Arabidopsis thaliana: one gene and its partner. The protein of the gene in region 1 interacts with the protein of each later gene in a pairwise test. Each region holds a gene or a part of one and is shown on either strand. Other genes may lie near its edges.

Region 1 (4,894 bases):
TTGCAGGTTACTGAAAGGGCTGATTTTCAGAAAGATTTGTCGTTGGACAGCTTGGACAAGACGGAGCTAGTTATGGCTATTGAAGAAGAGTTCTCGATTGAGATCCCTGATGAGAAAGCTGATAAGCTTACTTGTTGTGGTGATGTTGCAACATACATACTCTCTGAAACTCCTACCAAAGCGTCTGAGTCCTGAGTTGTATCTCTGCCTTTCTGTCTCTCTTGTTTTCAATGTTTAGTTAATGCAAGTTTAGAGACATGCTCTGTGTCAGTGTGTCTTTGCTTCAGCCAATATGATCATTTGGGTTTTTGCTGCTAAACATTTTATATGATATATATTCTAATGTGATCACACTACTTTTGTACCAAAAACATGGGAGCCTTTATATACATGATGCTTACAGTTGTTTGTTCTTACACTTTGGGAACATGAAACACAATGTAGAGAGACTCTAACTCGGTTCTGTGACTGGAGCGCCAGCTAAGCAAACGAGGACCATAACAAAAAAAATGCTTTTCACATGAAGGAACTTGAAGAATCAGCTGTTTGTGTTCAAATCTTTTGGTTGAAATGTTGTCTCAACGAGCTTGCTATGATCTCGAACTGTGGCCCTGTAACCTGATTTTCCCTGAGGTGTAGACACGGAAACCATTGGTAGAGGAAACAAGTTTGATAGGTTTGTGTATATTGGTAGAGGTGTTATAGCATCTATAGGGCCTAGGCACATATACTGGCTTGATGAAACAAGTGTTTTCAAGGTGTGGAATCGCATGGAGTTGGGAGGGAAGATCGATTTCAAACTCTCCCAATTCATCAGTAACAGCCTTAATCCATTTGGACCTCCTTTTGGATCCAGTGTGGCACTTGATGGCAACGGTGGCACCTGCGAGGATCATGTTAGTATATATTCGGACGGAAGACAAGAAACATGAAGAAAAAAGGTAGAGAAACAAATACCTGGGATAGGGATGGAGTGAAGGTGAGGACGTGAAGTGTCGCAGAGAAGAGATCCGGTGATCACGACAGAGGAGAGTTTCTGTTCACCGTAGCCAGCCATCTCCACCATTTCCGTTCTGGTCCATAAATTATTCCCAAATGCTCCGGTGAACAAGAAGAAAGAGAGTAACAAGAAGCAACGGATGATGAAGAAGCTTCCCATCGTTAAAAACAAAGAAAAGAGGTTTGTTTGTTTTTCTTTGTATTTTGTTAAAGAAATGAAAATAGCATGAATATATAGAGAAGAAGAAGGAAGCTAAAGAAGAGGAAGAGACCCTTTGCGTGGTGGCTTCAGGTCACACAGCTCTGTACGGCAGTGTCTCTCTTTATACCTTGTAGTAGCCTTTTTCTTTTCAGTTGTATCTTTTCTAAATATATTAAAAATCGTGGCTGACTTGTTAGGGTCAAATTTAGAGCTGAATCTTCCAAATGAAACAATGAACCGAGAGCGAAAGAGAAAGAGAGATACGGCACTTGGAAGCAATTACTGAGTGGTTCGCCTACTCTTTCACTCCTTGTATAAGTATTATTTTAATAATAATATTTGGTGCAACGTTTTTGTATCTAGTGTGACGTTTCTCCTTTTCTTTATTTAATTAAGCCAATTCAGTTAGAGTAGTCATGCAGTAACCAAAAGATTCAAGCCTACCCTCAACTATACTCGCACACATTCAGCTTTGAACACAACGGCTTCAACATCGTGGGTTTGGTCGTGTCTACGTGCTCAGAATATCTAGTTGATGGTGGGAGTCAGCAGGGTTTTGACCAAACCACAGTTTCTCAAGTCCTCATTACATTGAAAAAAGTATGGGCTTAAAAGAAGCCTAGATATTGATAATAGGTCCATCACCTTTAATGGGCCATTCAGTTTGATTATCTTAACGGCCCATTAGGATTCTCCAGGTGGGACAAGTATTAGCTATGTCATTAAGAGCTTAATACAGCTGGAAGCTGGTGATTATTGTTAATGTTAACTAATCACACGCTTAGAAAAGCGACAATGGTTGGACCCACAGGAGAAGATCGAGACCGTCAAAAGTGGACAAAACTGGGACGCTTTTTGTTTCCAAACAGCTGTCTGATCTGATTGGTCGATGCAGTTTTGATGGCAATGAACCCCACCACAGACCACACCCTCATGATCCAACCCAATTCGCTCGTAACACAAAAAAAAAAAGAAGTGAAAAATTGACCGAAGGGTCGTTGAGTGGCAGTTACCCTCTGTCTCCCTAACGCCCACCTATCTTCTCCGTGTTTTCCACGCGCTATCTTTCTCTCTTCTGTGTGTTTACCACGCTCCTCTTATGCGCGTCGGCTCGTGACAAAAGTGTGCCGGGTCCACTAACTGTCCACAACACGTGGCAAAGCCTTAAAGGGCTGTCTATCTCTCAAACAAGATCAATTCCAATCCGACGGTCGAGCACGTATCCAGTTGTCAGAATCTTATCAGTAAACGGACGGTTCATATAAGATCACGTGTCAAGTGAGCAGAAGTCGTGCGTCCTCTCTTTATATAAGCTCCGGCGACTCCTTCACCACTGTGTACAATACCAGCCGACACTTAACAATTCACACCTGCTCTTTTTACTCTTTCTAAAACCCTAAATTTTCTCGCTTCAGTCTTCCCACTCAAGTCAACCACCAATTGAATTCGATTTCGAATCATTGATGGAAATGATTTGAAAAAAGAGTAAAGTTTATTTTTTTATTCCTTGTAATTTTCAGAAATGGGGGATTCCGACAGGGATTCCGGTGGAGGGCAAAACGGGAACAACCAGAACGGACAGTCCTCCTTGTCTCCAAGAGAGCAAGACAGGTTCTTGCCGATCGCTAACGTCAGCCGGATCATGAAGAAGGCCTTGCCCGCCAACGCCAAGATCTCTAAAGATGCCAAAGAGACGATGCAGGAGTGTGTCTCCGAGTTCATCAGCTTCGTCACCGGAGAAGCATCTGATAAGTGTCAGAAGGAGAAGAGGAAGACGATCAACGGAGACGATTTGCTCTGGGCTATGACTACTCTAGGTTTTGAGGATTATGTTGAGCCATTGAAAGTTTACTTGCAGAGGTTTAGGGAGATCGAAGGGGAGAGGACTGGACTAGGGAGGCCACAGACTGGTGGTGAGGTCGGAGAGCATCAGAGAGATGCTGTCGGAGATGGCGGTGGGTTCTACGGTGGTGGTGGTGGGATGCAGTATCACCAACATCATCAGTTTCTTCACCAGCAGAACCATATGTATGGAGCCACAGGTGGCGGTAGCGACAGTGGAGGTGGAGCTGCCTCCGGTAGGACAAGGACTTAACAAAGATTGGTGAAGTGGATCTCTCTCTGTATATAGATACATAAATACATGTATACACATGCCTATTTTTACGACCCATATAAGGTATCTATCATGTGATAGAACGAACATTGGTGTTGGTGATGTAAAATCAGATGTGCATTAAGGGTTTAGATTTTGAGGCTGTGTAAAGAAGATCAAGTGTGCTTGTTGAACAATAGGATTCACTAACGAATCTGCTTCATTGAATCTTGTATGTAACTAAAGCCATTGTATTGAATGCAAATGTTTTCATTTGGGATGCTTTTATGTTTTGGTGAGAGTTATGTAGTGATTCAAGTGTCAAAATGCTTACATAGAGAGGCAGCAAAGAAACCAGCTTCGTTAGAATCTGTGAGGAAAGCTCTGTTTGTTGAGAAAGAAGGTCAATTGCGCGAATGTAAGTCGCGGGTGTTGTAGTACAAGTTGCCTTGTTGATCAGGTGCAGAGACGCGGAGAGGAGTGAAGCCTTCGTAGTCTCCGTTGGTTTTAGCAGAGCAAATGTCTGTCATATACCTCAATAGCTCATAATTTTGTACAAATGGTTGATTTATGTATTCCTCCCAAGGCATCCACTGCACCAAATTCCCATTTTCAGAAAGAGAAGAGGTTTATGAGTGTTTTAGTGGATGAGACTGGAGAGTCGTTGAAGTGAGGAGCAAAAACTGTTACCTGAGCTGCCTCAATCTCTGACTCCTGTGCGTTGATCTCCAAAGAAAGGGGCTTTAACATGCACACGAAGAACAAATCTGACTTTCCAAAGAACGCTTTGTGTGTTTGTCTGCCAGAATTTTAAAACAGACGAGAATCAGTTATGTTGCAATATAGAAGATTATGCAGTTGGAGTTGCTACCTGAAGGCCAATATTTGGTCGAATTCTGTATCCACCTGAAAACATACGATGCAGAAGAGTGGGATTAGCTCTTGGTCTCATGTAAACTGTAAAGAGGACAGTGAAAAGTTGAGGCATGAAGAAGCCTTACTCCGGTCTCTTCTTTCACCTCTCTGACTGAGCCATCATGAATGTCTTCACCCTGACTCAACACAAACACAAAAAGGCGAATCAGAGAGCTGAACCTAACCATGTAATGAGCTTTAATAAGAACCAGCACCTCATTCACAACTCCGGTGGGGAACTTCCAGATACCTTGACCTTGAAATCTCCCTGTCTTCTCTTGAACCACCAGCACCTTTGGATTCAAATACAGAAAAGAAAAGAGATGTGATCCATTCTTGGAGATGTTCCAAAAAGACACACTAAAAATCTCATCTCATCAGTAATCAAACCTCTTTGTTGTGGTTAATGACAAAGGCACCTATGCCAACACGGTGAGATGCATTGGCAGGAAGCGTATCGTCTTCTTTGGGAATCCAATAGACAAGCATCAAGTAGTCTTTCTCCGCGTGGTGAAACCAGAATCCCTCCTACACATAATACACAACCAGTAAGTGATATGAAGACTCTCCAAACAATAAGCAAAAGGGGGTTTAAAGATATCTGATTGCGCATTAGGTAACAAAACAAGACCTTAACAGCAGTTTCAGCAAGACCAATAAGCTGCTTTGGCAACTTGATCCAC
Region 2 (3,778 bases), 1.2 Mb from region 1:
CTTTTTATATATTTTTTCTAAATTAAAAACATAATTTAATATTTAGTTAATTAAAGTGAGTTTGGCCAATGAAATTCGTTACTGCATAATATATATATAGTCATAAAAGTATATAAATTCTACGCTTGCATAGAAATTTGAATTATTTGTCTAAAACATCTTATGTTAAGAATCAAAATAATTTGGCTAAAACAACTTATAATATAAAACCGAGAAAGTAGTGTTTTGGAGTTTTTATTTATGTTTTCTGGCTACTCTTTAATGTAGCCATTTAAAGTAAAAAGAAAATGAAACCAAGTATATATATAAGAGTGAGGACCCTTTTCATAAACAGAAGGATTTATTGCTTCTAAAAATTAAATTGTCTAGATTGTTTTCTATCTTTTCATAAGAAGAAAGATTTATTGCTTAAAAAAAAAGTAAATATTCAAAGATTTTTTTTTATCTAATGATTACGAAGTGAAAATATTTGGTTTTATTATGTGGCTCCTAATTGGTCGTTACGAACAATGTTTGTTTTACGAACACTTGTTATCCACAACAATTTTCAAGGTGTTCCACAACTATATTTTCAATAGATCTTTTACACATTAGATGTTCATATCTTGAAAACGAAATATACTATGTGAGAAACAACTCATGCCAAATTGAGAAAACTGGAATAATATATCAGCGGTTTGCAAGTAAAATTTCGTTGCATAATAAAACCGGAGTATAACTTTCACGCGAAAATCCATTTTAAAATCAAAATGCTGGAAAATTTACGAACATAGATTCGGGATTCAAAAAGATCTCTTACTAGATCCTAAGATCATGATGCCTACATATTCACAACGTATACAAAATTAATACCATGAGCCATGGGGATTTTCTACTTTCATAAAGGATAACTAGAAGATGGAGCTAGTAGTATATGTTTTTTATGGTAATTGACATTTATGCCTAGTTCATTGTGTTTTTTCGTAATGAACTGCGAATATTTTGGTGATTCTTTGGCATAAACTAATCTAAAGCAAAGAAGAAAATAAGAGTTAACTAAAATTCCATTGTCTTCCATTTGCTTTCGTTAATGCCATGTGTTTTGGTGTTGTTGATGTTATGTTTAGTCTTCTATGTGATATTTCACATGGAAGACTACACATAACACCAACAACAACAGAACACATGACATTAACGAAAGCAAAACATAATAACAACAACAACAACAAACATGACTCGATAGAGATACAAATTCTCACAAAAGCATTACAACCCTAAAACCCAATCAACACTTTTCAATTACCGCCGCTGCTTCCTCCAATTTCCCCAGCTGCCTCCTCTCCGTCACCAGGCACCGCCGGCCACTCCTGCATCTGTGGCGGTGACGCGTACACACCATTACAATCAAACACCGGATATCCTATCACCGTTCCCGGAGGAAGTACTTCACCGTCCGGATGTAGCACGGGATCATCGGTAACGACGGAAGGGTCTCTTGGGACAACGTCGCCAAGGAAGGTAAATTTGAAACTACGAGTCGTTGCGGCGGAGATATCGGATCTCGTGAGCGTATCGGATCTCTTGAGAGTTTGGCGACCGCCCTCCACGGTATGAAGCCACGATCGCATTGTGAGATCAAGAATGAGCATCTCACAGGCCTTCGATATAAGGACCGGAGCCTCTGCAGTGACCATGTTCACTTCCGGGTTGGACTTCATGATTTTCTTTATCCTGGTTAGTGGAAACGCATGATGCTTAACATCAGTTGCGTTTCCCATCTGCGCAATCCAATAATTCCGCATCTGCGGTGAGTACGGCAGCGGCAGTGAATATGACGGCAACGGCATTGATTGATAATACAATGGTGGCGGCGGCAGTTGGGAAGACGATGGTTGCGGCAGGTAGTGGTTGTTGTTGCCGTTGTTCTCTTCCATTTTGATCTTTACGTTTTTCTTGTTCACTTTCTAGGCTAGGGTTTCCATATTTAAAGGCTGATTAAGTGGGCTACGAAATCAGCCCAACTATTTTCTCAAAAATAAAATTTATTTTTTATTAATATTTTGTTTTGTGTTATACAATATTTACTAATATATGTGAAATCCCAAAATACAAAACCTCACTTTCTATTCATTATAAATTTTTGTTAACCAATACTTTTTGGATTTTATAAATTTTAAAACTTATAAAATTTAGATAAGGTGAAAGCTATTAGTCAACTATAGCTTTAGATAAGGTGGATTTTATACTAACCAATTTAGGGAAGTATGTGAAAGCTAGCATATGAGGAATGTCGTCAATGGTTTTGTGCCCAAGATCTGATTAGTCAAAGAAGAAAACTATAAGTGGTGCCTTGGAGTGGTAATTAGTGGGAAGATACCAAACTGAGAATTTTCTAATGCGCAATGGAAAGTATGTGGAGTTTCCGCATAGATAAGGTGACTTTGGCTTCGAGTGAAAAAGCTATAGTTGTGTACTTAAAATCCAATGCTTGGCCTGCTTCTTTGTGTTATCATTCTTAGGAGATTGCAAATATTGTCAGCATTTCAAAGATGCAAATATGTATGTCAATTTGTCTTGTGCATGAGACCGATCTAATCTGAAGCATTAATTTAAAGGTAGCAAAGGAACATGTTTCATCATTCAAAGATATCTCAATGCAGATAACAATTCCAAATCAATGAAAACACAAGTGGTGGAAAGAGATATTTGAATAGATGGTTTTCGCGCCAAAGTTCGTTAAAATATCAAGCTTAAAATTTAAACATCCAAAGATATTGTTTATGTAAAGAATATGTTTCTCTTAACCTTAGATATTATTTTTAAAGGAAATAATTACTACTTTTAGGGCCGGTCCAAACATAATTTGCCGTCACCTGTTAAAAAGAAATTACAAAAGTTAGGAAATTAGGATCGAACTGGTCACCTAAAGCGGATATCCATCAACTTTTCGGAAATAAACTTTTTATGAAATGATGCGCCTATATATTTATATAGAGAGTTCTTTGCCTAAAACCTTTGTTTCATGAGATTTTTAGGCTTTAATCGAAAGTCGAACCTGATTACTTGAACAAACGAATCATGCAAAATCTAGAAAAAACAATGATGAGTTCAACATTTGGTGTGAAATTTAGTTAGCTGGATAAAAGCAATCAAACCAGATTATTTTTTATTGATATGGAGTTATTGAAAACATTTATGCATAGTCCTTGTGATGATAATCAGCCCCATCCCAAATAAAATTAGAGATGTAAGGTTACCCAATTTGTTTTTGCTATAAAAAGCTTTATTTAAAAAACAAAATCAGGCTTATTATTTTTAAAACAAAAAATGGGGTTTTGAACTATAATTTTGGGCTAATTATAAGTTGTTTTATAAAATATGGGTTTTTTATATATCAATTTTACTTCAAAAATAAAAAAAGTCTTGACCCTCACACCTTACGACTCACCCATTGGGTCGAGGTTGATGATAACAAGCTCGGCCCAAATAGGATGGGCAAAAGGGCAGTAGCCCATGATTCCATGATTTTTTCTGAATTATTTTTTAAAAAGGCCATATTTTATAAAAAAATTAATTTGACTGAAAATATCTAATAAATGGCCCAATATATTTGGAGAAAAAAACTTTTACATGAAATGGGGCCCTTAATATTACTTTAAAAAAATAATTAATTTGTAATCGGATTAGAAGGAGAGTAATCGAATGAGTGATTTTTTAAGGGATTAGTCATTAATCATGGATAGAATGGACTTAACGATTAAGCGGAGAGTAACCGGATATGATGGACTTAGCGATTAAA

The links.
Region 2: the proteins of NF-YB2 (region 1) and NF-YC7 interact in binary tests that used the Arabidopsis thaliana proteins (3 or more experiments, as listed by UniProt).

The regions. Positions count from the first base shown.
Region 1 is NC_003076.8:19,306,691-19,311,584, forward strand, and holds NF-YB2 (nuclear factor Y, subunit B2), read left to right. Parts: upstream 1-2,536; 5' UTR 2,537-2,723; coding exon 2,724-3,296; 3' UTR 3,297-3,582; downstream 3,583-4,894. Other genes in the region: mtACP3 (mitochondrial acyl carrier protein 3), read left to right, coding at 7-195; AT5G47635 (Pollen Ole e 1 allergen and extensin family protein), read right to left, coding at 591-883, 958-1,159; NUDT2 (nudix hydrolase homolog 2), read right to left, coding at 3,701-3,889, 3,987-4,095, 4,168-4,202, 4,298-4,348, 4,427-4,504, 4,602-4,739, 4,843-4,894. UniProt on the Arabidopsis thaliana protein: Component of the NF-Y/HAP transcription factor complex. The NF-Y complex stimulates the transcription of various genes by recognizing and binding to a CCAAT motif in promoters.
Region 2 is NC_003076.8:20,553,846-20,557,623, forward strand, and holds NF-YC7 (nuclear factor Y, subunit C7), read right to left. Parts: upstream 1,914-3,778; coding exon 1,275-1,913; downstream 1-1,274. UniProt on the Arabidopsis thaliana protein: Stimulates the transcription of various genes by recognizing and binding to a CCAAT motif in promoters.